Linked DNA regions of Arabidopsis thaliana. The protein of the gene in region 1 interacts with the protein of each later gene in a pairwise test. Each region holds a gene or a part of one and is shown in the gene's direction. Other genes may lie near its edges.

Region 1 (7,203 bases):
TATGTTGAATCTTTAGGTGATTCTCTGTTTCTGAGTTTGCTCTGTTCTAGTTTCTTAATCTGTTCGTGATGGAGTTTCTTTCTTGCTCGCTGTGATGCTGCAGATTATGAAAACTTCTTCTTGTAGCTACTTCGGTGTAATTACGTTCAGGTGGTTAAAAATTGTTTCTTTGAAAGGTGCTTTGATCCGAAGTATAGTTGAACCTGTTGCTTGAAATTTTGTGAAGAGAGAAAATTGGAGTTCTCGAGCATGTTGCTAATCTTGCTTCTATCCCCTTTGATTCTACCAGGAAAAGGAAGTCTCGTGGAACACGAGATGTAGCTGAGATTCTAAGGCAATGGAGAGAGTACAATGAGCAGATTGAGGCAGAATCTTGTATCGATGGTGGTGGTCCAAAATCAATCCGAAAGCCTCCTCCAAAAGGTTCGAGGAAGGGTTGTATGAAAGGTAAAGGTGGACCTGAAAACGGGATTTGTGACTATAGAGGAGTTAGACAGAGGAGATGGGGTAAATGGGTTGCTGAGATCCGTGAGCCAGACGGAGGTGCTAGGTTGTGGCTCGGTACTTTCTCCAGTTCATATGAAGCTGCATTGGCTTATGACGAGGCGGCCAAAGCTATATATGGTCAGTCTGCCAGACTCAATCTTCCCGAGATCACAAATCGCTCTTCTTCGACTGCTGCCACTGCCACTGTGTCAGGCTCGGTTACTGCATTTTCTGATGAATCTGAAGTTTGTGCACGTGAGGATACAAATGCAAGTTCAGGTTTTGGTCAGGTGAAACTAGAGGATTGTAGCGATGAATATGTTCTCTTAGATAGTTCTCAGTGTATTAAAGAGGAGCTGAAAGGAAAAGAGGAAGTGAGGGAAGAACATAACTTGGCTGTTGGTTTTGGAATTGGACAGGACTCGAAAAGGGAGACTTTGGATGCTTGGTTGATGGGAAATGGCAATGAACAAGAACCATTGGAGTTTGGTGTGGATGAAACGTTTGATATTAATGAGCTATTGGGTATATTAAACGACAACAATGTGTCTGGTCAAGAGACAATGCAGTATCAAGTGGATAGACACCCAAATTTCAGTTACCAAACGCAGTTTCCAAATTCTAACTTGCTCGGGAGCCTCAACCCTATGGAGATTGCTCAACCAGGAGTTGATTATGGATGTCCTTATGTGCAGCCCAGTGATATGGAGAACTATGGTATTGATTTAGACCATCGCAGGTTCAATGATCTTGACATACAGGACTTGGATTTTGGAGGAGACAAAGATGTTCATGGATCTACATAAGATTTCAAATTTCGTTTGACTGGCCTAAGTTTGTGATTCTGCTCCGAGACGGTGTAGCTGTTACTAGCTAGAAGCTGCCCTTCTTTGAAGCTACTGATACTTTCTGATATTAATGGTTGTGAGACGTAGTACATGTAGTTAGGTAATGTAGGACAAGTTCAAATATGATTCCTTCTTTCTTTTTCTTGTGAATACATATGACATATGAAGAAGTTCAAACGTTGGGTTTAGAAAAAGTTTATAACATTCGGTACATATCAAAGTTTTGAACTTCGGATGCATATAAGCTATAAAGTTTTGATCTTTGAACTTTGGATACTCTCACATCTAATTTTCATCCTTAAGAATGGAGATGGAATAATGCGATGTTGCGTAGTGGTTTTATTGACTTGGCAAGTTTTGATTATTCAAGAAACTTGGCTTAGTTTAATGGAAATATCCAGTAGTGGAGTTTTTTGGTCTGCAGACTTTCCTCAGGTTGTCTGAGATTACATAAGCAATGAGGTATGAATAATAAAGTTATCATTAGAGAGTTATCTATCTGTATTTTCTACAAAAGGCAAATTGGGTATTTGAAAGTGCAAATGGGACATAGTTGTATATTATTTAAAAGGCTTTAACTATTCCATTCTGGTCTCCAAAATCGTTTTTCTTGCTCGAATCTTGAAGATCTTCTAAGCCTTTAGAAAAATGAAGAAATCAAGTTGGCAAACTGTTAATTAATTAAATCCAATGAATTGGTGGGTATTGCACCTCCACAAGTTCCCTTTGACAATGTGTCCTCTTCTCCGCAAGAATGAGATGCAACTATTTTGGACAATTTCTCCTTTTAATTACTTTTTGATCGATAATCTTCTCTTAATATCACGTTGTAATCTGATTCATTCAAATATCTATCGAAATTTAAGCTTATCTTTGATTTTTTCGATACTTATTTTTGAAATTTTAAGTGCATTTTGTTTATAATCATAGTTGGGGATTTAATAATTTTAGGTGGAATAATATTTTATGCATATTGGAGATTTATTTCTCGAGAAATATTCACAAACAAACAAACAACCGGCTTTTGCACAAAAATAATAATGACATGGAGTCGAGTTGTTTATACTAATGTTTGTCACTATCTCACCATTGGAATTTAAATCTTGGATATATAATACATGTTTTGACAAAAAAAAAAGTTGGCACAAATTATGTTGTTGTAACAAAATACGTCTGATGCATTGATTTGAGATTGACTCTTTGAACCCAAAAATGTATCACCGTAATATTAATACATTTTCCACATCAACTTGTAATCTATTTGTGTTCAGTAATATATTGGTGAGTGATTATGTCACCTAACCCGAAAGCTTATAAGATGAGCAATCTTTATATCGAGGATGGTGCAAAAAATAGCAAATTGTAACTTTTTGTCCTTCTTATTCTATAAAATGTCAGATATAATTAGTACTGCAAATTGCTCGCTTATTCGTATTAATCTTAACAACTAGGGCTACTTGGGAATATGTATAGTTGTTGGAAAAACTAATGCATTAGATAACCCTTTATTATTTTTCCCAATTGTGTTTTGTTATTATGCCCACCACTCAAATCCAAGAGTCCAATATATTCATATGATTTGAATATACGTTTGTGGAAGAAAACACACCCAAGAAATATTGTCCAATTCGTAAATTTCCCTGACTTTACGTTGGTTACTTTTAGCAAACTGCTTAGTTTGATTTTCTTCTAATTCGTCTTATTAATATTCTGTTCTTTTCTTTGTTGAAAAGGAATTTGATTAATACTTTTTTTAGTATCGTCGAAAGGCTCAAGTTGATTACAAGATGAGGAAAGATTATTATGATGGACCCATGACATGATATCTTCACCAACTTGGAACATTGAAAGTCCTATGGAGTTATTTTTGAAATTTTTACCTTAGTCAGAAGGTTCCAACAAAATTAAAAATCCACCAAAAACGCATCCAAGAATAGTACCAACTGAAAATAGATCGGCAATCACAAAGACAAAGGTCGGTCCTCCCAACCAATTTGTTTCAAGAATTTTTTCAAACCTATGCATAAATTAAGTATAGCTCTTAACCAATATATATAGCTTAACCAACTCGACACATAGTGATCATGTTCTTATAATCTTTAATAACGTTTTAGAGTTAGCTATATATATAGCCTCGAGACAGTAGAAGATTGAAATATCTATGCAAAACCTCAAAGATAATGTTCAATGTTTTTATATTCTGAATATTGATATAATCGGTGAGATAGAGATGAGTTCAGAATTTTTTTCTCGGTATCTTAAATGATATTGATTTCATTTTCTCAACTTTCATTCAAGAGTGTTTTTGGTTAAAACATAAAAACGTCCATTCTAATTATAGTAATGCTTGTGTGGTTACGACAACATGCTCATTCATTGTAATAAACTGGTGAAATATATAGCACCATTGACAAATAGACAGCCTCAGTAACAAAGCAAGGAAAAACAAAATTAAAATTTAATAACCGGTTATATTAAATATCGAGAACCAGTCCGTAGAATTTCATGGGAAACCGGGCCGGTCCTTGATATAAAGAAAGAGAGAGACGTTTCTTAACTGAAGCAGTACACAAACTCCAAACAAATCCCAAGTGGACAACCGAAGAACCCACACAAACTAACTCTCTTTCCTAATCCACATACTTGCATTTTTATATATAAACACTCTGTCCTTATATAGTTCTGTATATTACATGTAAATATCTCTCATTAATACAACCTCACGAAGAAAACCATTTGTTTTCTTAGAGAGAGCCAAGAATATTAAAAGAGATATAGAGAAAAGATTTGCTTTAATAATGCCAACGTCGATACAGTTTCAGAGATCCTCCACCGCCGCAGAAGCAGCCAACGCCACCGTAAGAAACTATCCCCACCACCATCAGAAACAGGTTCAAAAAGTGAGCCTCACGCGCGGGATGGCTGATGTGCCGGAGCACGTGGAGCTTTCCCACACGCACGTGGTTGGTCCTTCTCAGTGCTTCTCCGTCGTGGTACAAGACGTGGAGGCTCCGGTTTCCACAGTCTGGTCGATCCTAAGCCGCTTCGAACACCCTCAAGCGTACAAACACTTCGTGAAAAGCTGCCACGTGGTTATCGGAGACGGTCGAGAGGTTGGGTCGGTGAGAGAGGTCAGAGTCGTCTCTGGTCTCCCCGCGGCGTTTAGCTTAGAGCGGCTTGAGATCATGGACGATGATCGCCACGTCATCAGTTTCAGCGTCGTTGGTGGGGACCACAGACTCATGAACTACAAGTCGGTGACGACGGTGCATGAGTCGGAGGAGGACTCCGACGGCAAGAAGAGGACACGTGTCGTTGAGTCATACGTCGTTGACGTACCGGCGGGTAACGATAAGGAAGAGACTTGTAGCTTTGCTGATACTATAGTACGGTGCAACTTGCAATCGCTGGCTAAACTCGCCGAGAACACTTCTAAATTCTCGTAATTACATTTTTTCAATCTTTTTATTTTTATTTTATTTTCTATATTTCTCTCTTTCAAAATTTATCTTTTATTTTTGGGATTCTCGAGGTGGTTTTGGATTTTAAGATTTAAGTATTTAACTATCGTCGGGGATTTTTCGAAACTAAAACAAAAAACAAGAATTATATCAAACAAGATGGTTTTGGTTTTTCGAAGTTAGGGTTTTTAGGGTCTGTTAAATGTATGTCTCAACGATACTTTGGTTTTACCCTTAAAACCATTTCTTCTTGTACAGCTCTCGTAGCTTTATTATATAAACATTGATTGTTTAGTTATTTTCATAATCTTCTTCTTGCGCCGTATTTTACATATTTATTATTTGTCTTTTAATTTAGTTAATCATGAAACAATATAGACTATATAGTGATTCAGCTATAATGCATGGGGTATATTGTTACGATATTTCCGATATTATTATGTCTAATTTCATTAATTTTGATAACCTACATAATAATGTATTACACAAACAATTTGATTAATATAATCATTGGCATATCTACTATATATGAAGAGATCTGAACAATTGTGGGCAATCAGAAAACCCATACATGTGCTGATTGAGATGATTCGTTTTCCTTTATGTTAAGAGAAGAACAAAGTAAAACTATACATCATTTGAATTTTATTGAAATGTATAAACAGTAGAATACTACTTGGTGTTTTAAATGAATTTGCTCACCAGCTATATAATCAAAGCGTTCAATCCTAAAAGCAAAGATGGAATAATATCAATTAGTGATAATTAAACTTGAACCAAGGCGTAATGCATGTATTGAGTTATGTGATATAATCTTAAGAATTTTCTTTATGGCATATATAATGCTAGGCCAAAATAAATGGTGTCAGGTAATACAGCATTATATCTTTAATTCCCTAATTTGGAAACGTAAAATTTTCAAATTATTTGTCATTTCATCAACAAACTTTACATAAATACGTAAATGTTTTGTTTTTACTCACCAAAAAAATAAATCAAAATTATTTACATACCAAAATGATAAAATTTCTTAGTTCCTTTTATAGTTTTGGGATGCGTGAACCGTTTCAATAATTCAAATGTCAAAATTATTACTTTTTCGGATTTCCTTGTCCTATATATTAGTTCATGAATAAAAATGTACATTTGAAAAATCAAATAACTTTATCTAGTTATATAAATATAAAGAATCCAATGAACAAGATGAAAAGACATTCAAAGTTTGCAAAAGCAAAATGTGTTTAGTTACTTTATAATTAAGTAGTAAGATTTCGAGACTTGTGAACCAAATTCAAAATTGAATACATATATAGACATTCATGTATATGATCGTACGTAAAATGCAAGTTGGGGTGTAATAAAATCCAACTTGTTATAGAAAAAAAACAAAGCATGCAAGTTGCAAAGGAAAAAAAAAAAAGTCGCTACTATTCTTTGACACCTTTAAAAAATATTCCATAAATAAAAAAAAGGTTAAAGAAAAATCAAATTGATTACATAAATGATTATTAATTTATTATCATAATGAGTACGAAATATATATGTAAACATTGTCGTGGAAGGAAGGAATTGCAAGTTGATATGCAAGTTGGCAAGGAGGCTATTAATGTTTTCCCTCTTTTGGTCGTTTGTATAATGACATTTAAACCCACCCACCTTTCTTATTTTCTTTTCTGTCTTCCTATTTCTGATCACTATTATTATATTACTTATATTTTATTTCACATTTTTTTTAATTTTATAAACCCATAAGAAATTTTTTTCCCTTTTATTTACATATGAAAACATATGTATTCCCGTGTCAAAAAAATGAAAATTCTGACCAATCCAGAGAGATACGATTTATGGGGTTTGTATATTCCAATGTGGCATGTTGCATATAAACTACTACTATTTAACTAGTTTCTTAATAATTCAAATCCAAATAAACATGCATAAAAGATTGTGATAACGTACATAGCTGTGATATAATATGCATTACTTTTAAAAAGCAACGGAGATAGTTCGTATTTTCATATAGTCTTTAGCTGGGCTATCTAACACTTTAACTAATTAGAATAAGATATAAAGTTTGCTATAAAATGTAAATAGATGATTTATCCAATATATACATATGAGTGTGTCTGAAAAAGGCAAACCAAATTCAATGTAACGTGAAGAACACCGCCTCCTTCCTTAAAGTTTATTGGGGATAGATATTTTCGTCCATGATTTTAACTTCTACGATTTTAGGTTTGGAAGCATTTCGGTGTGAGTGGTGTGTAATGTTGAAAACATCAACGCGGATAAAAATCTTCTATATAGTAATTGAAAATTATCAAATACGATTTTAAAATTAATGAAAACGTCGATTTACTATTTGTTTATTAGGTTTATATACATGGTTTGCTACCAAAAATATAAAATTC
Region 2 (7,437 bases), on another chromosome or scaffold:
GTTTTAATCGTTTTCCAAGTTATGAAATTCTAACATCAAAACTAGGACTAGAAAAAAAACCAAAGCCGAAGATTTATTATATTGGGTTCGAAATTAAACTTGAACCCGAAGATTTACTATATTGGATCCTAAATTTTTTAATCCAAAAAATCTAAGTCGAATCCGAAAATACCGGTATTTTATTCGAAAATCTAAATTTATTCGAAATCTAAAATTTTATCCAAAAATTCAGGTATTTACTCAAAAATTCGGATATCGGTTCTAAAAGGACCCTGAAAATTTATATCCAAACCGATTAAAAACCGATTGGATACAAACTTAAACCAAACCGATATTTTGGATTTATCCCATTGAATCTTAAACTTTTATATCCAAAAAAATCATATCTAATCGGGTTTTACCCGAACTTAACCCAAATGCCCACCTTTAATTATTCAAAACCAAAAAAGAAGTGTTTGATGCTGAGGTTTGAACTCATCAGATACACGTAACTATTTTCCAATTTATTTTCGTTTATGTGCATTTCAGAATTTCAAGCATAAATATACTCTTATTGTTTAAACATTTCAAATTGCATGTGTGAAATAATATCAGAGTTAGAATATATGTTAATCTTCTCTTCTCCTAGATTCAGTTAGATACGTTTCTATCTTCTTTTAGGCAACATCTCTTGTACAAATAGTCTCTTTGGCAATTCAATACAATCAACCTTTTACGATATATATATTTGTTATTTCTTGTACAAATAGGATCAAAATTGTTATTTCTGAAGCAAATTTTCTTTAGTTTGGATGTCAATTATATCCTCGATTAATATGTAATCACGGAACGGATTCACGATGCGTTATTTTAGAAGCAAATTTATACTTGATAGTACGTTCAGAGGCATCGCTTTTGTACAAATTGAAGCGGGTTTGTTCAATATTTAAAATAACACAGGAAACATTCAAATGTATTATTGATGTTGCTTAGGTTTGTGAAATGATATGAACCATATCGTATATATTACTAGATTTTTCTTATATGTTTTAAGGGTAGTGGGGCTGACCTATCATTCTGTTTGGCATTACCAATCAGACTATCAGAGTATTCACCATTCAGGATTCCATAACTAGAAAAAGAAGGGGTTTACATTTTCTCATACTGTATAATTTTCTACTATCAGAGATTTTATCGATTACATTAATCTCATAGTGATTATTCTGATTTATAAAAAAGTTGACAAAATAATTAAAACCAGTATTTTATAACAAGATTGTCTCTCTCCCATGGCCATTATTTTGACCTCTGACTTATTTAAATCTTAATTAACAGCATAATACTGTATTAAGCGTATTTAAATGAAACAAAATAAAAGAAAAAAAGAACAAAACGAAAGAGTGGACCACATGCGTGTCAAGAAAGGCCGGTCGTTACCGTTAAGGTGTGTCGAACTGTGATTGGGCCACGTTAACGGCGTATCCAAAAGAAAGAAAGGGCACGTGTATAGATCTAGGAAAAAAGAAAGAATGGACGGTTTAGATTGTATCTAGGTACCAGGAAATGGAACGTCACACCAAACGGTACGTGTCGGATCCTGCCCGTTGATGCTGACGGTCAGCAACTTCCCCTTATTCATGCCCCCCTGCCCGTTAATTACGTGTAACCCTTCCATGCGAAAATCAAACCCTTTTTTTTTTTTGCGTTCTTCTTCAACTTTTCTTTTTAAATCAAACCTTTTCTTTTTAAAATCACATTGCATTTCCTAACGCTCAACAAAATCTCTCTCTACTAATATCTCTCTCTCTCTCTCTCTATTGTTGAAGAAGACTCATAATCGGAGATTGTTTGTTTTTGGTTTGCTCTGTAAATTGGAGAAGTTTTGTTAGAGATCAAATGGCTGGGATTTGTTGCGGTGTTGTTGGAGAGACTGAACCGGCGGCACCGGTTGATTCAACTTCTCGAGCTTCTCTTAGACGGAGGTTAGATCTACTTCCGTCGATCAAAATTGTTGCTGACTCCGCCGTTGCTCCTCCGCTTGAAAACTGCCGTAAACGGCAGAAGCGTGAGACAGTAGTGCTCTCGACGTTACCGGGAAATCTAGATCTGGATTCGAATGTGAGGAGTGAGAATAAGAAGGCTAGATCAGCGGTTACGAATTCAAATTCTGTTACGGAAGCAGAGAGTTTCTTTTCCGATGTACCTAAGATCGGTACGACGTCGGTTTGTGGTAGAAGACGAGACATGGAAGACGCTGTCTCGATTCATCCTTCGTTTCTTCAACGGAACTCTGAGAATCATCATTTCTACGGTGTCTTTGACGGCCATGGCTGCTCTCATGTACGTTAATTTCCTCTGTTTAGTAATATTTTTTTCTTTTGTTTGTGATTAGTTACTAATTAGGGTTTTGTTTGGTTGATTTTAGGTTGCGGAGAAGTGCAGAGAACGGTTGCATGATATAGTGAAGAAGGAAGTTGAAGTTATGGCTTCCGACGAGTGGACAGAGACGATGGTTAAGAGTTTTCAAAAAATGGATAAAGAAGTTAGCCAACGAGAGTGTAACTTAGTTGTTAATGGTGCTACTCGGAGTATGAAAAATTCTTGTAGATGTGAATTGCAGTCTCCTCAGTGTGACGCCGTCGGATCCACCGCTGTTGTATCGGTTGTCACGCCGGAGAAGATCATTGTTTCTAATTGCGGTGATTCACGGGCTGTGCTTTGTCGTAACGGTGTAGCCATTCCTCTCTCCGTAGATCACAAGGTAGTTAAAATTATGTCTTATATAGAATTACGAATTGGTTAGTATGAATCAAGATGGCATGGTTCTAAGAGTTTTTGTTTTGTGATGAACAGCCGGATCGACCCGATGAATTGATTCGGATCCAACAAGCTGGTGGGCGAGTTATATATTGGGATGGAGCTAGGGTTCTTGGAGTTCTTGCCATGTCTAGAGCAATTGGTGAGTGAATCTCTCTTGTGATTTGACTTTTTAGGCTATTTTGAATTACACGTTTGAATTTAATCTGATGATTATTGTTTTTGTTTGTATAGGTGATAATTACTTGAAACCGTATGTGATTCCGGATCCGGAGGTAACAGTGACGGATCGAACTGATGAGGATGAGTGTTTGATCTTGGCGAGTGATGGACTATGGGATGTTGTACCAAACGAGACGGCGTGTGGCGTGGCTCGCATGTGCCTTCGAGGTGCTGGTGCGGGTGACGACTCAGATGCGGCGCACAATGCGTGCTCCGATGCGGCGTTGCTCTTAACAAAGTTGGCTCTAGCAAGACAGAGCTCCGATAACGTGAGCGTCGTTGTGGTTGACTTGAGGAAGAGGAGGAATAATCAAGCGTCGTCTTAATAATTAGTGTTATAATTAGTAGTAGTATTAGAATAATTGTTACATAGCCTAATTGTAATTGTATTCTTTTTATTTTTCTATTTTAGTTTTTCTCATTTTAAGGTGTTTTTTCTTTTCTATTTTAGTTAGCTCTTAATTCAGGCTGGGGAAGAAAAAGAGCTGATTAAATAGTTTGAGTATTTTTCTTATTTTTCTATTCAGGTAATATTATACATGTATTCTTTTAGTATGGTCGTTGGAAATGTAATAATCTAATTCAGAGGGGAAAAATGTTAAAATGAAAGAACAGATTATGCGTATTTACCATTTTAAAACTTCGGTTAATGTTATTCGATCCGAACTGGTTTAGTATGAGTCTCGACGATGATTTGAATCCAAACCGGTTACTTACTAATCTTCCCCTATCTTAAGAAGATTTTATTTATTTTATTGGTATGGGGTCGTATGGGAGACTCGCGTGTCGTAGACCGCGGCATTTTAGCACATAATTGTAATTAAAAGATTCAAGGATAATATTAGAAACATAAATCAACAAAAATATATATATATCTTGGTGGAAGAGACTAATCTGGACAATCAATATAAGAACTAGAAAGTACAATGATTTATTAATTCTTTTAATACTAATGAAGATAGTTAAGTTAAGAGACTTGTCTGGCAACATTGTCGAATGCTTAATGTCAGTTAAGGTCGGAATCAATAATCAATTAAACAGATTTTGATTAAATTGACTAGAAAATATCAACTAGGAGGGTAAGAAAAAGGAATATGATCTTCACATTCTTTTATAAATAAATTAATATCAACTTGAACAAAAAATAATACATACTTTTAACCGTCCATTACTAGCCACTTGCCAGTTGCCACAATGACCAGATAATAAAATCTTATTCTATTCAATCATGTTTTTATAAACCCTTCACATTAATGTTTGTTAGGTATTAATCATACGTTAGGTTATGTTTTGTTTTCTAAACCAACAATTATTATGGGGTTTTGTTGAAGACATTTTTCGTAAACCTAGCATCTTTTGGATATGAAAATACCACATTTGAACCAAAACTACGGTAAATTTATATCCCCACGCGTGAAAAGTTCGATTGGATAATCCAATACATCACAATTGGTCGAAGTTTGGAGATTTCACCATCAAAAGATAAGGCACTGCCATAAAATTATTAGATCGGAATTCGCATAATGTTATAATGATGGATTGATTTTTTTAGCTGTTGCCTGTTGGGTTTGTGGAAAGAGTGAGAGGGCAACACAATAAAAGTTGGGGATTGAGAGGGACACAACACAAGTGGGAGCTTAGATAAGATTATGCCTACTTGTGACAATCAAATAGCAACACGTGTCTATTTGGTCTATGTGAGATTTGGTTTCCAAGATTTGATGTTGACCTCTCTTTCTCAATTATTCTTTCCCTTTTTTCGCTATACATCATAATGTTGTCTCAATTTGTCTTATTAAATATCTATTCATGTCCCTAATGGTTCTTACTTTATAGTATTGAGGAAGGCTTACATGACATCGTGAGTTCCTTGTGCTACATTAAAAATGTTAACAATAAGTTTGGTTTTATATCATAAGTCTAGTTTTAGCAAAACAACTAACTTTATACTTTTTCCTACATAAAATCCATTGCTAGTATAGATTTAAGTTAACTTAAAATGTCGTTAATTACATGTGTTTGGGACATAATAGAGAAACTTGGTCAGCCTTTTGACGATGTTGCCTGAAAGATATAGCTATATTCACTACAAAATACACAATTGAAATGCTCTAAAATTGTTAAAAATAACATTTTAAACCAAATATAGTTGGTAGACGATTTTAGCTCAACGGTGCAAACATACAAGTGAATTGTTCGACTAAATTTGTTAAATAAGACTTTTCACCAACTGTAGTAGTCCATCAATGATAAAAGGTAAAGAAAAGATGCATAGGCCGTAAAACCTATAATCATTGTTTTCATTTTTAAATTTGTATATTATGCAAAGGTTTAATAAAACGGAGAAGGATTTGTTTACTGACGATATTTGATTCCAAACGTAGAACACATTCTAAAAAAAAATATTTTCTTTTATGAATTTATGAATTTATGAATTAAAGAGCATAAAAAATTAAAATGACTTTAAATTTAAATAACTGAAGTAAAGAAATACTAATCAAATACAAACCATATAAGAACACCATAAGCAGAACGTAACATCATCATCTTAATGATTTGAAAGGGTCTCAGTCTCTCAGATTATGAATTTATGATGCAGTTTCATAGTGAAGAATGGTCCCAACAAGAAACTTTAAACTGTTTTTGTGTTTTAGAATTTCTCTATTTATATTTTTAGATAATGCTTCTATATCTAATTAGATAGATTTTACTTTGTTTTCAAAGTCTATCTCTTGCTCTTATTATCCTTCTTGGTCGATTTTGGTCCTAGCTAAGTTTTATTTGAAGCTTTTGTTTCTCTCATTGGTATACAGTTTTTAAAACATATAAAACAAGATTATTCTCTCAGCTAGAGTCGCTGGTCCTTTTTATATATTGTTTAAGAAGAAACTTGTCCCGACTAGTTTCTCCAAACCGCAATATATAAACCATATTTTTCTTTCCCTATTCAATTTGGTTTTAACTTTTGTTCGGTTGTAAGAAAACAGACGATAAAAAAGAAAAGAAAAGGAAACAGACGATAGCTTACGGCGAAGCAAATTAAATAATATGATATAGTAAATCATAATAATTGAAATCCATCCATATAAACAACAAGAAACGAAACTTTAGGGTCAAGCAAAATTAGGCTTTCACTTCCTTAACTTGCTACCCACGGAATATAAATTGAACCATATCCTTTACTAGAACTGTCACTAACCCTATCAAAGATCTCTCTTCCAAATCATCAATGGACGAATTAGGGTTTACTGAATCATGCTCATCCAGAGAAGAATTTAACCCCGTCTCCCACAAGAATGCACCCACTGCAAATTCTTTTTTGCAGGACAAGTTACCGATATCTGTAGGCAGACCATAGAGTTTGAGAAGTCGATCGAGTTCTTCCTCCGACATAATGTCGTACTGTTCCTTTGCGTAATTCGGGTACTGAAGAGGCATTTGAAACGAAGACGGTGACGAAGAACCAAACAAGCTGGCGAATTGGTCGCTTTCATTGTCCGATGATGAATTAGATGTTTTTTTGCCGACGACATCTATATTTTCGACATAGTCATTGTTGAAGTTTTGTAGTTCGTCACGGAAGATAATACTGAGTTTTGAAACCTTTTCCATTGTTTCAATGAAATTCTAAAATTTGACCTTCTACTAAGAAGAAATTACTTAAGCTGATATATATGCAGTTAAAAATAAATGGAAATTTTACTTTTTCGACTAAATTTAACAAAGGAAATTTTCTTATTTTTACATAATGATACGAAAATGTTATAATTACAATTAAAAGAATATACGTACTAACATTTGTTAATTAGTTATATTCTTCATTAATAAAGATTATTATTTTGATTGATATCTTAGAACGAAAAAGTAAAAGTCAAACAATATTTTTGTGAAACGGGGAATGTTAAACAAACATCACAAATAATTTTAGACATCAATGAAAAAAGTGTTGGAAAACTCTTACGTATCACACAAATCCATTTTTTAAAAAGCATGCCTTATGTATTAAAGAGAAATTGAACAAATTCTCATCTATTCATACAGAAACCAAACCAACAAACAAACTGGTCGATAAACAAAAATCCATAACAAGAAAGACGAGAATGAGAAGAGTTTTAAGGTCTCAACATCAGACATTTCTTTCTAGGTTGGTCTTGGAGTTGCCCATTCAACCCTGAGGATGAGGTTATCATAACCATAACCATTCAATTTGTTGATTGCTCTTTGAGCGTCTTCTCTGCTCACGAAATTGACGAAACCAAATCCTCTGCTCACTCCAGTTTTCTGATCAATGGCCACATAGACACGTGTGACAGCTCCAAACGGGTGGAACAGCTCCATCAAGTCAGGTTCACGGGTATCCTCGGACAGATTGGTTACACGCACAGAGTTCTCATCGTTCCTCCTCCTCATGTCTGAACC
Region 3 (7,223 bases), 4.2 Mb from region 1:
TTTGTTGTATCTCAATATGAAAATGATTGTATAGAAAATGAAGAAACGAAGGCTAAGTGTGCCTTTTTTATTATTTAAATAGTTTGTATATGACTTCAAAATATATCCAAACACAGATACTTTGGAATTTATAATGACAGTTGACATCTAAAAAAACCTGTAAATTGGAAGGTTTAAGCATATGTCTAATTATTATTTATCCTTTTCGTTTTTTATATTGTACATTCATTTTTTACCACTCTCAAATATGAACTTTGTATTTAGTTCTAATAAAATTATGAAGTTTTAAATACTCAACCGACTGGACTGGTACAACCAACCATCCAATAATGATGTCGAATCCGATATTTTGTCCCCATTTACAACACACTTGCATGGTTACGTGTGATATTATAATATGTATAAACGGTCTATAATTTTTCCTATACCGAGTTACAAATAAGAATCTCCATGAATAGATATCTGCTCTGTGGCTGATAACCAAAAATGGCAAAGAGAGGGGAAAGCTTGAGAGACAAACCTAAATGGAGTCTTGAAGGCATGACTGCTCTTGTTACCGGTGGATCTAAAGGCCTCGGGTCAGTCCCAATTTTTCTACCTTAATTACTTACTTCCCTATAATTTCAGTACCGAAACTGAGCTCTGATTTCAATCATGTATAGACTTTCGTTTTATTTGTTAATACGGCTCAATCATAGACTTATGTGGATCTTTTGATAGTATTTCTATGTTTAATCAAATCAACCCCTGAAAAGATCAAAGGCTTAATGATATGTATAAATTCATATTGATGTATAAATAGAAAAGCTGTGGTGGAGGAACTAGCCATGTTGGGAGCAAGAGTTCACACATGTGCCAGAGACGAAACTCAGCTTCAAGAAAGCTTACGTGAATGGCAAGCAAAAGGGTTACAAGTCACCACTTCTGTTTGCGATGTTTCTTCTCGTGACCAGCGAGAGAAACTCATGGAAACTGTTTCCTCTCTCTTCCAAGGAAAACTCAGCATCCTCGTAAGTGTGTGTGTGTATATATATAAGCTTCTCCTCCTCCTCGTCTATGAGCTTGGATCGACAATGACCAAAATCATGTTGAATTTTGTTTGCTTCGTTTGTATAGGTACCCAATGTGGGAATAGGTGTACTAAAGCCGACGACTGAGTGTACAGCAGAAGAGTTCTCATTTATAATAGCTACAAATCTGGAGTCAACTTTCCATTTCTCGCAACTCGCGCATCCTTTATTGAAAGCCTCTGGTTCAGGGAACATTGTGCTCATGTCTTCCGTGGCTGGAGTTGTAAATTTGGGTAATACATCAATCTATGGAGCAACCAAAGGTATAATTATACGCATACTCGAACAATTTATGATTCTTTGCTTCTATCGCGACTTAAATAAATGTATACGCATTCTAGGAGCCATGAATCAGCTGGCGAGAAATTTAGCATGCGAGTGGGCGAGTGATAATATAAGGGCTAATTCTGTTTGTCCATGGTTCATTACAACTCCGTCAACTAAAGATGTAAGACAATGAATAAGAAAATACATTTCATTTATAGTATGAAAAAATGGTTTAACTATTTCTTACGAAGTTTATGTGAAAATGTTTCAGTTCCTCGGTGATAAAGATGTAAAAGAAAAGGTGGAGAGTGTGACACCATTGAGACGTGTTGGAGAGGCAAATGAAGTATCATCGCTTGTTGCATTTCTATGTCTTCCCGCAGCTTCTTATATAACAGGTCAAACCATTTGCGTTGATGGAGGTTTCACTATTAACGGCTTCTCTTTGCCTTAAACACGTATATATGCATATATTCATGCTTAAATTTATGTGATTAATTAGTGGTTTCACTGCATATTAATTCATACAAGTTTTATATGTAACTTATGTTGAGGGAGCTCACTCCGTTCATGCCTTCTAATGTTTGGACGAAGAACTCAATCTTTTATCTTATCGGATAAGAAGTTACTTGTGTTCACATTTGATGTTTGTTCGTTTCCAATCGTATTGTGACTTTTGATATATAAAATAATTATTGTATATATTCTACTTATGATATATGATTATATAGTCATGTAATGATGACCGTACGATTTTCAACTCTAGTATCCCTATCTTTAGGGGGTTATGGCTAAAAGCCTAAAAAGATTACTTTTGCTAAAGGAGTAAAGATTATGTTCATAATTTTTTTTAATTTATATAAATTTATTATTATTATTCTCACGCATAACACAAAACAAAGAAAGAATTATCTTCATAATTATATATATATATATATATATATTTGATATAAATTTATTATTATTATTATTCTCACGCATAGCACAAAACAAGTTTCTTCTATATATCAACTAAACTAAAAGACATGTCGTTGGAAACATACTCATATATCATATTCAAGGACTCATAATAATAGACATGTAAACAAAATATTCCTTAAATTTTCTAAATTCAAAAACAAACTATATATGTAACTTGTTATTTAATCTTCTTGGGTATATAAAACTTTATCGCATTTCTTGGATATTTGGACGATGAGAATTCAAATTGCTTTGTCGATGATAAATTTGTTTAATAATTGTTCAGACTGCCATCACAACATAGCTGATTACTGTCATATAAGTCATACATATTATATTTCCGATGATTCTCTGGACTCTCAAGACAATAATAATAAAAATTCAGATATAAGTTTATTAAGGTTTTCTTTGTTAACGTGTTTACTGTCTAGGGACAAACATAAATTATTAGCACTAAACTTGTTAGGTTTTGAAAGTAAACACTGATTTATACCTAAACTTAGGTTATTCATGTAATCAAATGTGAAAACTAACGTAATGAAATTCCTCTAGTTATTTAAATACAGAAAACAAAACCTACCTTGCGGGGAAAAGCATCGTGGCGCGAAAGGAAACTTCCTATGATCCGTCATCCGTGCCGTCTCAATTTGATTGGACCACGAATCTCGCACTCGATACTGACGCCTTACGTGGATTACTTTTTTTATAGAAAGAATTTAAAATTGTTTCTGAAGAGGCAGGTTTTGTGTATAAAATAGAGAATGCAAGTAACGTGTAATGACATTATTTCTCAAATTGAATGGTTTTCGAGCATTTTTATTAACCAGTGAAGCAACCAAAACAGGAATCACCAGTTCTTGAAAGAGTTCATCAAAAAAGAAAACATTTCTTGAAACATCTAAGAAAGAGTTTTGTTCTTCTTGATCAGAAATACAGAGCAAAATCCATTTGAAGACATCAAAGTTTAAGGTTTTTTTCCCCGGATATGGCCGAGATATGTTACGAAGTAGTGACCGACGCATGTCCGTCGTCGGTTTATGAATCAACGCCGGCACATTCACGGCGGAGGCCGAGATTCCAAACGGTGATGCATGAAGATTGGGAGAAGAATTGTAAGCGTAGTAAACAGGAGGCTTTAGCTACGAGATACTCTTCAATTCCTCGAAGCTCTCGGGAGGATTTCTCTGACCAAAATGTCGACGTATCCAGTCCAAGATACGGTGTTTCTTCGGTGTGCGGTAGAAGAAGAGAGATGGAAGATGCGGTGGCAATTCATCCTTCATTTTCTTCTCCGAAGAATTCGGAATTTCCTCAACACTACTTTGGTGTGTATGACGGCCATGGTTGTTCCCACGTACGACTCCGTTACCATGCATTCTTACGTTTTCCGAAATTCTATGTTTTCAGTTTTAGCTGATACGAAATCTTTTTTTTTTCCTTAGGTTGCAGCAAGGTGTAGAGAGAGGCTTCACAAGCTGGTGCAAGAAGAACTAAGTTCAGATATGGAAGATGAAGAAGAATGGAAAACGACGATGGAGCGTAGCTTCACACGCATGGATAAGGAAGTTGTATCGTGGGGTGATTCCGTCGTGACTGCAAATTGCAAGTGTGATCTACAAACACCGGCTTGTGATTCCGTCGGATCAACCGCTGTTGTCTCAGTCATTACGCCAGATAAGATCGTTGTCGCCAATTGTGGCGATTCCAGAGCAGTTCTCTGCCGCAATGGGAAACCAGTCCCTTTATCAACCGATCACAAGGTCAGTTCCGTTCAAAACATGTTCAGTTTCATTTAAGCAATGATTGGATTTGTGGATTAACTTGGAGATTGTGTTCTTTGTAATGAAACACAGCCTGATCGGCCAGACGAATTGGATCGAATCGAAGGAGCTGGTGGACGAGTCATATATTGGGACTGTCCAAGAGTTCTCGGAGTCTTAGCAATGTCACGAGCAATAGGAGACAACTATTTGAAACCTTACGTGAGTTGCGAGCCGGAGGTAACCATAACGGACAGGAGAGACGATGACTGCCTCATACTAGCTAGTGATGGTTTATGGGATGTTGTGTCAAACGAGACCGCCTGCTCTGTAGCGCGTATGTGTCTCCGTGGTGGTGGGAGAAGACAAGATAATGAGGATCCGGCGATTTCGGACAAGGCTTGTACGGAAGCGTCAGTATTGCTAACAAAGCTGGCGTTGGCAAGGAACAGTAGTGACAACGTCAGTGTCGTTGTGATTGATCTCAGAAGATAAGGACACGTAAGTGGACACTAGTCGAAGAGGAAGACAATTTTGCTTTAACTTTCTATATCAGTTTTGCTTTTTGGTTATTCTTGGAATACGTTGGTTGTATACAAAATTAACCCGATTTTATGGAAACCCCGAAAAAGGGTTAATTAATAGAAATGATAAGAATTATTCTTGTCAACCCTAATCCTGTTTCGTGTATGCTTATAATCTTAAATCAAATCAAATTAAGAAGGTCGACATGTAAAAGCATTTTGCTTTAAAAAAGATTGTCAGACTATACTATACCTTTTACTTTTAGGCATTAAGATACTTTAAGAGGTACTTAGTCTCTGCCGCTAGGCAAAGACATGAGAGTAGATCATAGGTTCTAAATGCAATTATGAGTATTAGCAGTATCTAAAGAATAAGAAAAACAGTAAGCAGTAGTAACAACAAGTCCAATAGAAACGAGGTCACGTATAAATTTCAACATCGAATCGACTTCAGACTAGCAGCTTTGATTGTACAACCCAAATTGTAGCAAATAATGATGTTCTTATGACTAAAGTTGAGGAAATGGTAGAGACAAAACAAAAGAAAGAAGGTTTTTTGAGAACAAGACCTCTCTCGGGAATCGAATTTCACGTTTGTTTGTTGTCAGGTTTCTTTTAGGGCCTTAAGTTTTCTGTAACCTTTATCGGTGCCAAAGATCCTGAAGTAACATAGATAAACATATTTACATGTTTATTATAGTTATGACTTCTGTTAAAGTAAGAAACAGAGTTCAATAATTTACCAGTCCATGTAAACAAACGTTGATGAGTAGTTGCCAGACTTTGTGTAGAGTAATCGATGATGGTAGTCATGGAAGTCAGCACTGTAAGCAAATGATTCCCACATTAATATTAAAGATCTGTTAGGTTTAAGGTGTTGCTCTTTCAAGGCAATCACAGGTTAGAAGTCTTATCTTACCCGCCGTATAGAGGAAGAAAATTCGAGGGGCTCCATGGGAAATGATAACCACAATGTGCCTCAACTGTCTCAATAACTCTGAGCATCATCCATAACCAAAGGGTGATCAGGTGAGGCCCGGTGAGAGCCGGACCAACAATGGTAGCAAAACCAAGGAACAGAATTTCAGCGGGATGAGCATATTCTGATGTCAAACCAAACGGTGTCGCGTACCTGTATATAAGTAATACCATAAGATTGTTTATTGAGGACCATGAGTGAACTAACATTGTCAAGCACAAAAAAGATGGTGAGTACTGATAGCTTACTCATGATGCACACTGTGCACGTTCTTGTAGAGCCATTTAGTATGCAAGATCCTGTGACCCCAATAGAATACAAAATCCTCAATGATGAAGTAGAATAAGATCTGGGCAGACACCACTTTCCTGCAAGAGCGTCACCAGATATAGTTTCATAAACCAGATCAAACATAATGCAGGTTCTTCTCATGCAGCTCAACACTGACATTTTATATATATTGCCCATTGGAAGAGTTTAACATCAGAACCCAAAGGCAAAAAAAGCTTTCAGCACTAAAGAACCTGATAATACCAGGACGGCAGAGGAAAACTGCTTTCCATGCCCATGAATCTGAATACAGGATACGACGCCATCATGAGGGGCAAGTTTACGCAGCAATGGTAAAGTAATAGTCGAGCAATGCATTTTCCCTGGGCTTCAGGAGTATTACTTTTGGTCTGCAAAAGACCAAACAAGAGTACTTGATAAATCTAGAAGACAAGCTAAACCAGTTATCACTTTGACATTACCATTGGGGAAATGAGAACACTGACAACTTGGTGATATCTTTCCATTCAGTTTATATTTGAACAGACACACAAAGCTATTAGTTAGAAGACCACTGAATCATGAGAAGAAAAGACAAACCTGAATTTTGTAGTTGCTCAGAAAACCAGTCCTTTCTAGGAAAATGTAAGGGAGTCCAGACAAGAAAAACACGCTTTCATGAAGTATAAAACTCCCAATACACGCCAGTTGAAAGTCACTGAAATGCGTAACAAGGTACTGCATCATCGCCACAAAGAAGGGTCAGTGTCACAGCTAGAACTGTCAAACTAAAGAGCTAAACATGATTGCCAAAGGGAGATAAAATTTGTTCAATTCCACGAAAACTGAAGGCAATTGTATATCATTGACACCATCCATCCAGTCACTCACGCAGAAAAGCAAGTTAAGAAGACGTTCAAGGAAAACCTATTGCTTATCAACACGTATCACAATCACAGATCCTCTAAGCTAGTCCAAGCTCCAACAACAATACATAAATCCCACTCAAATTCCAAAAAAAAATACAAGCACAAACAGAGATCACATACGAAATCAGTAATAATCTGTAACTAGAACAGTCAAATCCAGATCTGAAACCACAACGCAATCGACACGAAACCAATTCAATCTCAACATAAAGGGACCACAACAATACAATACGATGGACCACAGACGACAAACACAAAATCAACCTAACACGGCAGATACTAATCCCGTACCTACACTTGTATCATAAATGCAGTACACTCAAGTCGCCAGAGACCGAGAAACAAAAAACACGATTCAATCTCTGAAAACAAAACAAAAAAAAAAAACGTAGGAATCGCATACAAAGGAACGCGACGAGATAGAGGAATACGAAGTACCTTCCAACCGGATTCAACGAGAGAAT
Region 4 (8,764 bases), on another chromosome or scaffold:
TATTATTACCTTCCACCATACATATCCGTAGCCTATCACCCCAATTATAATGATGTAACCATACTTTTTACCACCTGGAAAATTGTAAGGAAATTGTTAAAATGGAGCAGAAAGGAATACAAAACTTCCAACATTAAATCTCTAGAGGACCTGATCCTGCTGTGGTAACAATAGTGATAGGTCTGTTTGAAGAAAGCAAGCTCAATTCATGCCTAAGACTGTTAACCTACAAGAAAAAATAGAGATAAGACAAGTAAATCTAAGTCCAAGTCCTCCACAAATGTATCTTATCCAGCTAAATTTAATAACCTATCCACATAAATAAGTAGCTTAATATCAATCAAAACCTGGGCCATTAGTGTATCATTGCGGGGCTTGCTGGCTGATTTGGCAGGTTCTTCTTGCTTCAGCTGCCTAAATACCATCTATCAAGAGAAATAAACCATTACTCCATTTATAAATAAACATCATAAATACAAGCTTTTGCACAACATAGAACTTAGAATACCTTAAGAGCACCGGAGACAAAACTCGAGACATCTGGTAAACTCCCTTCTTTAGCAAGTACTGACCCAACAAGACCTAACGTAAAAGCAAGTGAATTGAACATTAAGCATATGTACTAAAATTAATCGAAACAGTAAGACATTAAAGGGTAAATTCATCATCTTTGGTGCATTCACAACGAAATTAAACATAAACTAGTCTCCAATAACGCTGAATAATCTCCCCTAACACATACAAGAGAGTAAAAACTGTTCCTTTGTTCAATTTCTGATTGGTCGAAGAAACAGATGAAAACCAAAAGTGAAGCACACTAAAAAAATATCAAAAGACTTGAAATTTGAGCTGAAGAAGATTCGATGATTGAAAGACAGTGAAGCAACAGTGATCATTATAAAAGGGTTTATCAAAAACCCTAATTTCTCATCCTCTAAATGCAATTCCCCATCTACGAAACAAATGAGAACCCGAGAGAGGAGTACGAGCACCGATCAATTAATCACTAAAAAAGAAAACCCCCACAAGAGTACTGACCTGCACCGATGAGGATGGTGAGCTTCCCGAGAGGAATAGCCATGGAAGACGAAAACTCAATCCGGCGAGCTTGTACGACGAAGGATTAAGATATAAGAAGAAGACGCATGAGAAGATCTAAGAGAGAATTGGTAGAAGAGAGCAGCGGGAAGGTGCCGGCGTTAAAGATGATGCACTCTTGCGACGACGGAGATAGAGAGAGAGAGAAAGAGAGGCGGAGAGGAGAGAGAATAGAGAATAGAGAGACTCAAAATTGTTTTGTCGAAGGGACAGTGTTGTGTTCCTCAAGTGACTTGACATACAATACTTTTATTTTATTAATTTTCTTATTGGGCCTAGAAAAAGGCCTTAGAATATGCTCTAAGAAGATGCCCATGAGGCATAAGGTTATTGAGATTTGAGACTTTGACCAATTCGAGATAACAAAACAACTTGAGAGGCTGAGAGCAGACCACACATGACATTACAAAGGCGTTTTTGCTAGAGTTATAAGCTTCAAGAAGTTGTCCTAGTAATTAATAGTTTGTTTCATCTATTCCACATACATATGATAGGTCGCAAATGTATTATTAACCGTCGACGTCCTGTGCCTATCTACCTCATAAGATGCTCGAGTTTCGATAGATCTTCTTCATTTTTATACCACCAAAAGGACCAAATCTTCACCGGAAAAAAAGCAATACAAGTCCGAAATAGAGTAACATGAATACATGATAGGAAAAGTGTTTCCTTCCCCAAAATATCTAAACGAGACTCTCTTTGGACTTTTTCGAAGTGCCTAATCAAACAAAGACACATCTCTTTTGGCCCACCTTCCGAAACTAAGACATATTCAAACATACACTCTTCTTTTGAGGTTGTTACCACCAACCCAAAAGAAGAAAGAATATGCAAAACCTGATGCAAAATAGCACAGTTTTTCAACTAGCTAACCAATAACCATATACTCTTATTTTGAGGTTGTTCTTCCGATATCTCTATCTTCTTAGCTCTCTTCTTGTTTTTCTTGGAAGTGTGGGAAGCAGAGATCTCGTCCCTGGTGAGATGATCTTCAAAGGCTTCTATGATCTGGTTGATGAGCTCACGGTTAGACGAAGAATCCCATTTAGACCAGTAACTTGTGTAGCAATCAAAACATTGACAGTCAAGCAGAGGAGCTTTATGGCTTCTCTTCTTCTTGCAAGATACGACGTTAGTGGTGTTGAGTGACCTGGTGATTAAGTAAGCAAGAACTTCCAGATCTTCGGCGGAGAGAACCGAGACTAGAACTAGAATCGCACTCTGGAGAAGCTTAAAGACAGAAAGAGAGTCATCTCCATTCGAAGAAGAAGAAGATGGAAGAGGAGGAGATGGGTGCACTTTACCTTTCTTCATTACTTTCATGGCTGATTTTGAGGAATCTTTCTTTTCTAGATAGAGAGAGAGAGAGAAGCAGAGGAGAGAGTTTTCTTTGCTGCGATTATTGTTTCTTTCCTTAATGGCTTTCGCAGATAAGAGGAAACAGAGTATAGAGCCTTTTTTCATGTTTATGTATTTCACCCTCATTAATCATTATTATGTCTCTCGCTCATCATATACATGCATGATTTTTTTTTTTTTTTTAACAAATTCAATCAATTCACAAATGAGCTAAATCACAATAGCTCCAGCGAAAATGCATGATTTTTAAAATGCTTCTTTCAATGATATAGTTTTATTGTAATGGAAAAATATTTAGCAAATAGATTATAAACTTACATGAGACAAGTATAAATAATTATTATAAACTTATTAAGTTTAAGATCAAGGCTTTTGTGCAATGTATCAATGAATGTTAGATGTGATATGATGAAAGCAATGTTTTAAACACATACATAGTCATTGATCGGAATGTGTGTTATTAGAAATGCATGCCTAAGCCGATAGGGTTATCTATGTTTGGTCTTGGACATTATAGCCAAATTTCGAATCTAATTCTTCCAATATATATTTTTTTTTTTTTGCTTAGGGCCACTACTAGTATTGCTTATCAATTTTAAGAGCTCATGAAAATGCAACAATATAGTAGTTGCAAATCCTTGTTTCAAGAGAAATCAAAGGGCCACTTGTGAATTGAATAATAATAATATTTGCAAATAACCTTTCACTAAACCATACCAACAAAACCACACAGATTTGGCAAAGACATAACCTTTGGGAGACGTGAAAAGGCTCAAAATTTGACAATTGTCCTTACAAATTCGCTCATTAGTGCAATTGTGAGATTTGTTTGCATCCAAATCCAATTCATAACTCACACTCGTCTCAAATTCGAAAAATGTCGTCTCTCTCCTGCCCTACCTACCGCTCCCGCACTTCGTCTTCGTCTCCTTTCTTGTCGAATCATCATCATTCTTCGCTGATCAATGTTGTTGACCCACGCCGCTCACTCTCCTTCCACTACGCTTCTCCTCAGGGGCTTAATCTAGCTGAGCTCTGTGTTGTTAGATCGCAGAGGAGGTCCGTTCAGAGTTCTGTTGTCGTGCAAGATGGTAACTTTAATTGGATTCTCAATTGGGTTTTCTTCTTTATGCCTTGCTTTGCCGGTAACTTGAAAGCTTGTATATATAGGATTGAATCCTGTAGTTCAGCTTGGTTTTAGATAGATTTTCTTATAGAAAGTATCCGACTTTAGACAAAACATTGCATGTAATGAATGTTCTCTAATGCGCTTACAATTGTGTGTTTAGGATCAGTAGCCACCGAGTCAAGCTCGTCCGAGGAGGCGAAAGATGTAGGGGTGTTAACGATTCCTTCACTTGAAGCTGACAAGGTTGTAGCAGAGTCTGATGGCGGTGAACAACTTTCAACAGTTAGTATCACGGTGGTGGGAGCTTCTGGTGATCTTGCCAAGAAGAAAATATTCCCAGCTCTTTTCGCACTTTACTATGAAGGCTGTCTTCCTGAGGTATAAATAACTTCTTCTATCTTTCTCTCTTTCTGATGATTGATTGTTATATTGATTGATGTGGTAAGCTGTTTTTGGTCGCAGCATTTTACCATTTTTGGCTATGCAAGGAGTAAGATGACAGATGCTGAACTTAGAGTTATGGTCAGCAAAACATTGACATGTAGAATTGATAAGAGGTGAATAATTATTGTAGCTTTTAAAACCACCAAGACATTAGTCCTTATGGTTTCTTTCCCTTGGTACTTTGTCAGAGATGGGTTGTTTAACATTTAACTGTGATGGTTCAGGGCAAACTGCGGTGAAAAGATGGAAGAGTTTCTCAAGAGATGTTTTTACCATTCGGGTCAGTATGATTCTCAGGAACATTTTGTTGCATTGGACGAGAAGCTCAAGGAGCATGAGGTATTGATGTTTTCCTCAGCTTATTGTTTTTTTCTGCATTCCTCATGAATTCCTTGCAACCACATTGCATCATTGCCTCATTTTTCTGAAGGCTAATTGAGGTCATGAGTTACCTTGGTAGGTGTAAGGTGATATGCTGTAGATTATGGCCTGAATACAGAATTAGGAAAACTATTGTTGTTTCTGAAAAATTAGTAAAAACTAGAAAACTTTGGTCTTCTTACATTTTTTCTTTCTTATTTGCCCTTATCCATCACATAACTATTTGCAGGGTGGAAGACTTTCGAACCGTCTTTTCTATCTTTCAATCCCTCCAAATATCTTTGTTGACGCGGTGAAATGTGCAAGCTCATCTGCTTCATCTGTCAATGGATGGACTAGGGTCATTGTCGAGAAACCTTTTGGCCGGGACTCCAAAACCTCGGCTGCATTAACAAAGTCTCTTAAGCAGTACCTGGAGGAAGACCAAATATTTAGGTGGAGAGATCGTGTTTATGTTATTGTAAATTTTAGTGATGATGGTTTAAGATACCTTGCTGATACGAAAAGTTGATTTTTACAGGATAGACCATTACTTAGGGAAGGAGCTGGTTGAGAACTTGTCGGTTCTTCGATTCTCAAATCTTATATTTGAACCGCTATGGTCAAGGCAGTATATAAGGAACGTGCAATTCATTTTTTCTGAGGATTTCGGCACTGAAGGACGCGGAGGGTAATCCTTGTTGTCCTCTGTCTAATATTTTATTTCTCATGTGTGTTGAAGCCTATGTTTTGACACTTTTCTACTCTTCAAATCCAGGTACTTCGACAATTACGGAATAATAAGAGATATAATGCAGAATCATCTGCTTCAGATATTAGCTCTTTTCGCCATGGAAACACCTGTGAGTTTGGATGCAGAGGATATCAGAAATGAAAAGGTCTCCTATTGTTCCCTTTCTTATAATTTTGTTGATTTCAAGGCAGTATTTTGAGGTCCTCGCATTAATTCAGGTAAAGGTACTACGTTCAATGAGACCAATAAAACTTGAAGATGTGGTGATAGGACAGTACAAGAGCCACAGCATAGGAGGAGTCACTTATCCAAGCTATACTGATGATAAAACTGTGCCAAAAGGTAGTCTGACCCCGACATTTGCAGCTGCTGCACTCTTCATCGACAATGCAAGATGGGATGGTGTACCTTTTCTAATGAAAGCTGGGAAAGCACTAAACACCCGAAGGTACCAAACTTTGGAATTTTTTTTGCAAATTTTCTGGTTTGCTTGTAATAATATAAATATATCTATTGAAACAGTGCGGAGATAAGAGTCCAGTTCAGGCATGTGCCTGGAAATTTATATAACCGGAATTCTGGTACTGATCGTGATCAGACCACAAATGAGCTTGTCATCCGCGTCCAACCTGATGAAGCTATCTATTTGAAAATCAACAACAAGGTCCCTGGTTTAGGAATGAGATTAGATCAGAGTAACTTAAATCTTCTCTATTCAGCAAGGTAAGCTAAGAAATAATAAAGACAAGCTGTGGTGTTGTTTTGTATATGTAATCCTTATGTTCTTTTTTGCTTATATCTAGTTTCACATAACTTTTTTCTGTTGAAGGTATTCAAAGGAGATTCCAGATGCATATGAGAGGCTTTTGTTAGATGCGATCGAAGGTGAACGCAGATTGTTCATAAGAAGCGATGAACTTGACGCTGCTTGGGCGCTTTTCACTCCATTGCTCAAAGAGATAGAAGAAAAGAAGACAACCCCAGAATTCTATCCTTACGGCAGTCGTGGTCCAGTCGGTGCCCATTATCTAGCCGCAAAACACAAGGTCCAATGGGGAGACCTAAGTCTTGATCAGTGAAAGAGTGGAAGAACATTTTTTGTTCATAGATTCACGTCTTAGAATTTTCATTATTTGTGTGGTTTATGGAAACTTTCTTTCGCTTTCAGAGATAGGAGTGAGTTTTGTTCGATTTTGTATCTGGAATAATAAGTAAGAACTACCCTATTCTTGCCACCCTTTTTGCTTTCAATAAAGGAAACACAAATTTAAGTGTAGCCTCTGCAAAGACTTGAACAACATGATCCTCTATACATCACATACCAAAAAGAGAGAAAAAATACTGGTTAGAGCCTGTGTTCTTGATCTTGGAAATCGCCTGAAGCCCCTTCTGGCCATTCCAGGAACTTATGATGCAGAAGAGACGGAGGTAGATATGTCTGACCTGCAGCAGAAGAAGGATCACTGGGAGGATATATATACTCTTTTCCATAGCCAAGTTCCTTCATTAACTTGGTTGGAGCGTTCCTCAGGTGTAGAGGCACCCCTTCATTCTGTCCAACCGAGTCTTTCACAACCTTCTGTGCAGCTCCGATTGCTCGGTAAACTGCAATGGATTTAGGAGCCAGTGCCAAGTAAGCAGTGCATTGGGCGAGAATGACATTGCATTCAGGCATACCCAAGAAATGTGAAGCTTGATAGCACGCAACTGCCTGAGTAAGAGCTGAAGGGTCAGCAAGTCCAATGTCCTCGCTTGCAAACCTTATAAGTCTCCTTGCAATGTAAAGCGGCTCTTCACCACCCTCGAGCATTCTAGCCAACCAGTAGATTGCAGCATTAGCATCTCCGCCTCGCATAGACTTGTGAAGTGCGCTTATGAGGTTGTAATGTTGTTCCCCTGCCTTGTCATATGCCAAATGTTTGCACTGAAGAGCCTCCTTCGCATCATCAATAGACACAACAGCATCAGTTCCGGCTCGAGTGGTAGCCATGGTAGCTGAGATTTCCAAAGCATTCAACGCGACGCGAGCATCACCATCGCAGTTATTAGCCAAGAACTCTATGACAGAATCATCAACCTCAACGCTATTGGGGAGTCCTCTCTCGGAATCATCTACAGCTCGTCTAAGAAGGGTCTCAACATGATTGGGTTTCAAGGGATTAAGAGTTAGAACTCTACAACGTGAGAGCAAAGGAGTGATCAAATGGAAAGAAGGGTTCTCAGTGGTGGCTCCAATGAAGAGGATACTACCATCTTCAATAACAGGCAAGAATGTATCTTGCTGTGACTTGTTAAACCTATGAACCTCATCCATAAACAACACAGTCCTCTTTCTACCTTCAAGATTAAGCCTTTTGGCACTCTCAACGGCGTCTCTAACATCTTTAACTCCGCTCGTAACAGCAGACAAGGAAACGAAGCGATACAGAGACGGGTCCTTAGAGGAATTGATGAGAGACTTTGCGATTGAGGTCTTTCCAGTGCCAGGAGGACCCCAGAAGACAATGGAAGGGAGGCGATTGGATTCGACGGCGGAACGGAGGAGAGAGCTGGGAGAGAGGAGATGGTCTTGACCTACAACGTCATCTAGAGTGCGAGGACGCATACGCTCCGACAATGGCTGGTGTTGGCGGTGGCTGGATGATGAGAGCTTGTGACGCTTGTTGGAATCATCAGCCGCGACGTGGATTTGGGTTTTGGGATTGGGGCGCTTGCTGGAATCGTCACCCATGGCGGGGGCTAGGGCTTTGGGATGGAGACGGAGGAAGCGGTCGAGTTTGGGCTGTAACGTGGCCGTGGATTGAGGGGAAGAACGGTGGGAGAGAATCCAGTCGGTGGCTTTCTGGATGGAATCTCCGCCGGTGGCCGTTAAAGCCTCGGCGGCCAAATCGCTGGAGAAACCCATGCTCACTAGCTGCTCCATCTTCTACTTCTACTGTGAAAAACACCAAAGCTGTCTTAGTTAGCAATAGCATGCTCCATTGACTAAACTTTGTTTTGTCATCTTAAAGATAAAACCTTCAAGTAATAAGAAAAAATGTAACATTACGAACTAGACCATTTCTGAGCTAAAAAACCAATTTCATTTTATTTCTGTGTTCCGATGTGATGGAAGATATGTATAATCTTCTGTCTGTAAAAAACCTATACGCCTAAGCTTGAGAAGCTAATCTTTACATGTAAAGATTTTGTACAAAAAGAAAAAAAGAGTTAAAAATCATCAGCACGGTGGATCTCGCCCATAATGCGATTGCTAGTGACTTTGAAACCAAGAAGAGCTGGATCGATCTGCCTCCCTTTCTTCCCTTTCTTCTTCCCGCCACCACCTTTGCTTCCTTCTGTTACATCATTTGACTCTGCCGCCACCTTCTTCATGCTATTACTCTTCTTCAACATCTCACTGAACGATGTCGCCTCTGACGTTGACCCTTTGTTTCCCGCTGCTCCTGATTCCCGTCTCACACCGCCTGATAATATATTTGCTTACAGACTTGAGTCACATTTTCCATCGATAATGCCCAAAAATACAAAACGATCCTTGAGATAGATATATACCTTCAATTCCACTATACGAACTTGCTGCTGTCCTGCTAGCTGTGTCAGAGATACGCTCTATCAAT

What was found.
Region 2: the proteins of PYL6 (region 1) and PP2CA interact in binary tests that used the Arabidopsis thaliana proteins (3 or more experiments, as listed by UniProt).
Region 3: the proteins of PYL6 (region 1) and HAI3 interact in binary tests that used the Arabidopsis thaliana proteins (3 or more experiments, as listed by UniProt).
Region 4: the proteins of PYL6 (region 1) and G6PD3 interact in binary tests that used the Arabidopsis thaliana proteins (3 or more experiments, as listed by UniProt).

What each region holds. Positions count from the first base shown.
Region 1 is NC_003071.7:16,842,754-16,849,956, reverse strand, and holds PYL6 (PYR1-like 6), read left to right. Parts: upstream 1-3,762; 5' UTR 3,763-4,132; coding exon 4,133-4,780; 3' UTR 4,781-5,369; downstream 5,370-7,203. Other genes in the region: DREB2C (Integrase-type DNA-binding superfamily protein), read left to right, coding at 107-150, 290-1,292. UniProt on the Arabidopsis thaliana protein: Receptor for abscisic acid (ABA) required for ABA-mediated responses such as stomatal closure and germination inhibition.
Region 2 is NC_003074.8:3,580,088-3,587,524, reverse strand, and holds PP2CA (protein phosphatase 2CA), read left to right. Parts: upstream 1-1,674; 5' UTR 1,675-1,875; coding exon 1,876-2,319; intron 2,320-2,404; coding exon 2,405-2,740; intron 2,741-2,832; coding exon 2,833-2,938; intron 2,939-3,030; coding exon 3,031-3,344; 3' UTR 3,345-3,743; downstream 3,744-7,437. Other genes in the region: AT3G11405 (uncharacterized protein), read right to left, coding at 6,166-6,630; EIF3G1 (eukaryotic translation initiation factor 3G1), read right to left, coding at 7,159-7,437. UniProt on the Arabidopsis thaliana protein: Major negative regulator of abscisic acid (ABA) responses during seed germination and cold acclimation. Confers insensitivity to ABA.
Region 3 is NC_003071.7:12,605,573-12,612,795, forward strand, and holds HAI3 (highly ABA-induced PP2C protein 3), read left to right. Parts: upstream 1-3,102; 5' UTR 3,103-3,282; coding exon 3,283-3,651; intron 3,652-3,739; coding exon 3,740-4,057; intron 4,058-4,150; coding exon 4,151-4,552; 3' UTR 4,553-4,778; downstream 4,779-7,223. Other genes in the region: AT2G29370 (NAD(P)-binding Rossmann-fold superfamily protein), read left to right, coding at 487-578, 803-1,010, 1,117-1,333, 1,412-1,518, 1,609-1,791; SMO2-2 (sterol 4-alpha-methyl-oxidase 2-2), read right to left, coding at 5,186-5,240, 5,325-5,441, 5,501-5,713, 5,809-5,928, 6,095-6,240, 6,431-6,568, 7,198-7,223.
Region 4 is NC_003070.9:8,606,161-8,614,924, forward strand, and holds G6PD3 (glucose-6-phosphate dehydrogenase 3), read left to right. Parts: upstream 1-3,177; 5' UTR 3,178-3,334; coding exon 3,335-3,548; intron 3,549-3,746; coding exon 3,747-3,964; intron 3,965-4,048; coding exon 4,049-4,143; intron 4,144-4,254; coding exon 4,255-4,369; exon of another isoform or gene 4,370-4,640; coding exon 4,641-4,846; intron 4,847-4,931; coding exon 4,932-5,081; intron 5,082-5,168; coding exon 5,169-5,289; intron 5,290-5,362; coding exon 5,363-5,592; intron 5,593-5,666; coding exon 5,667-5,867; intron 5,868-5,973; coding exon 5,974-6,223; 3' UTR 6,224-6,420; downstream 6,421-8,764. Other genes in the region: AT1G24267 (bZIP transcription factor, putative (DUF1664)), read right to left, coding at 10-74, 151-226, 348-425, 509-582, 1,039-1,081; AT1G24270 (uncharacterized protein), read right to left, coding at 1,963-2,583; AT1G24290 (AAA-type ATPase family protein), read right to left, coding at 6,490-8,067; AT1G24300 (GYF domain-containing protein), read right to left, coding at 8,355-8,611, 8,700-8,764. UniProt on the Arabidopsis thaliana protein: Catalyzes the rate-limiting step of the oxidative pentose-phosphate pathway, which represents a route for the dissimilation of carbohydrates besides glycolysis.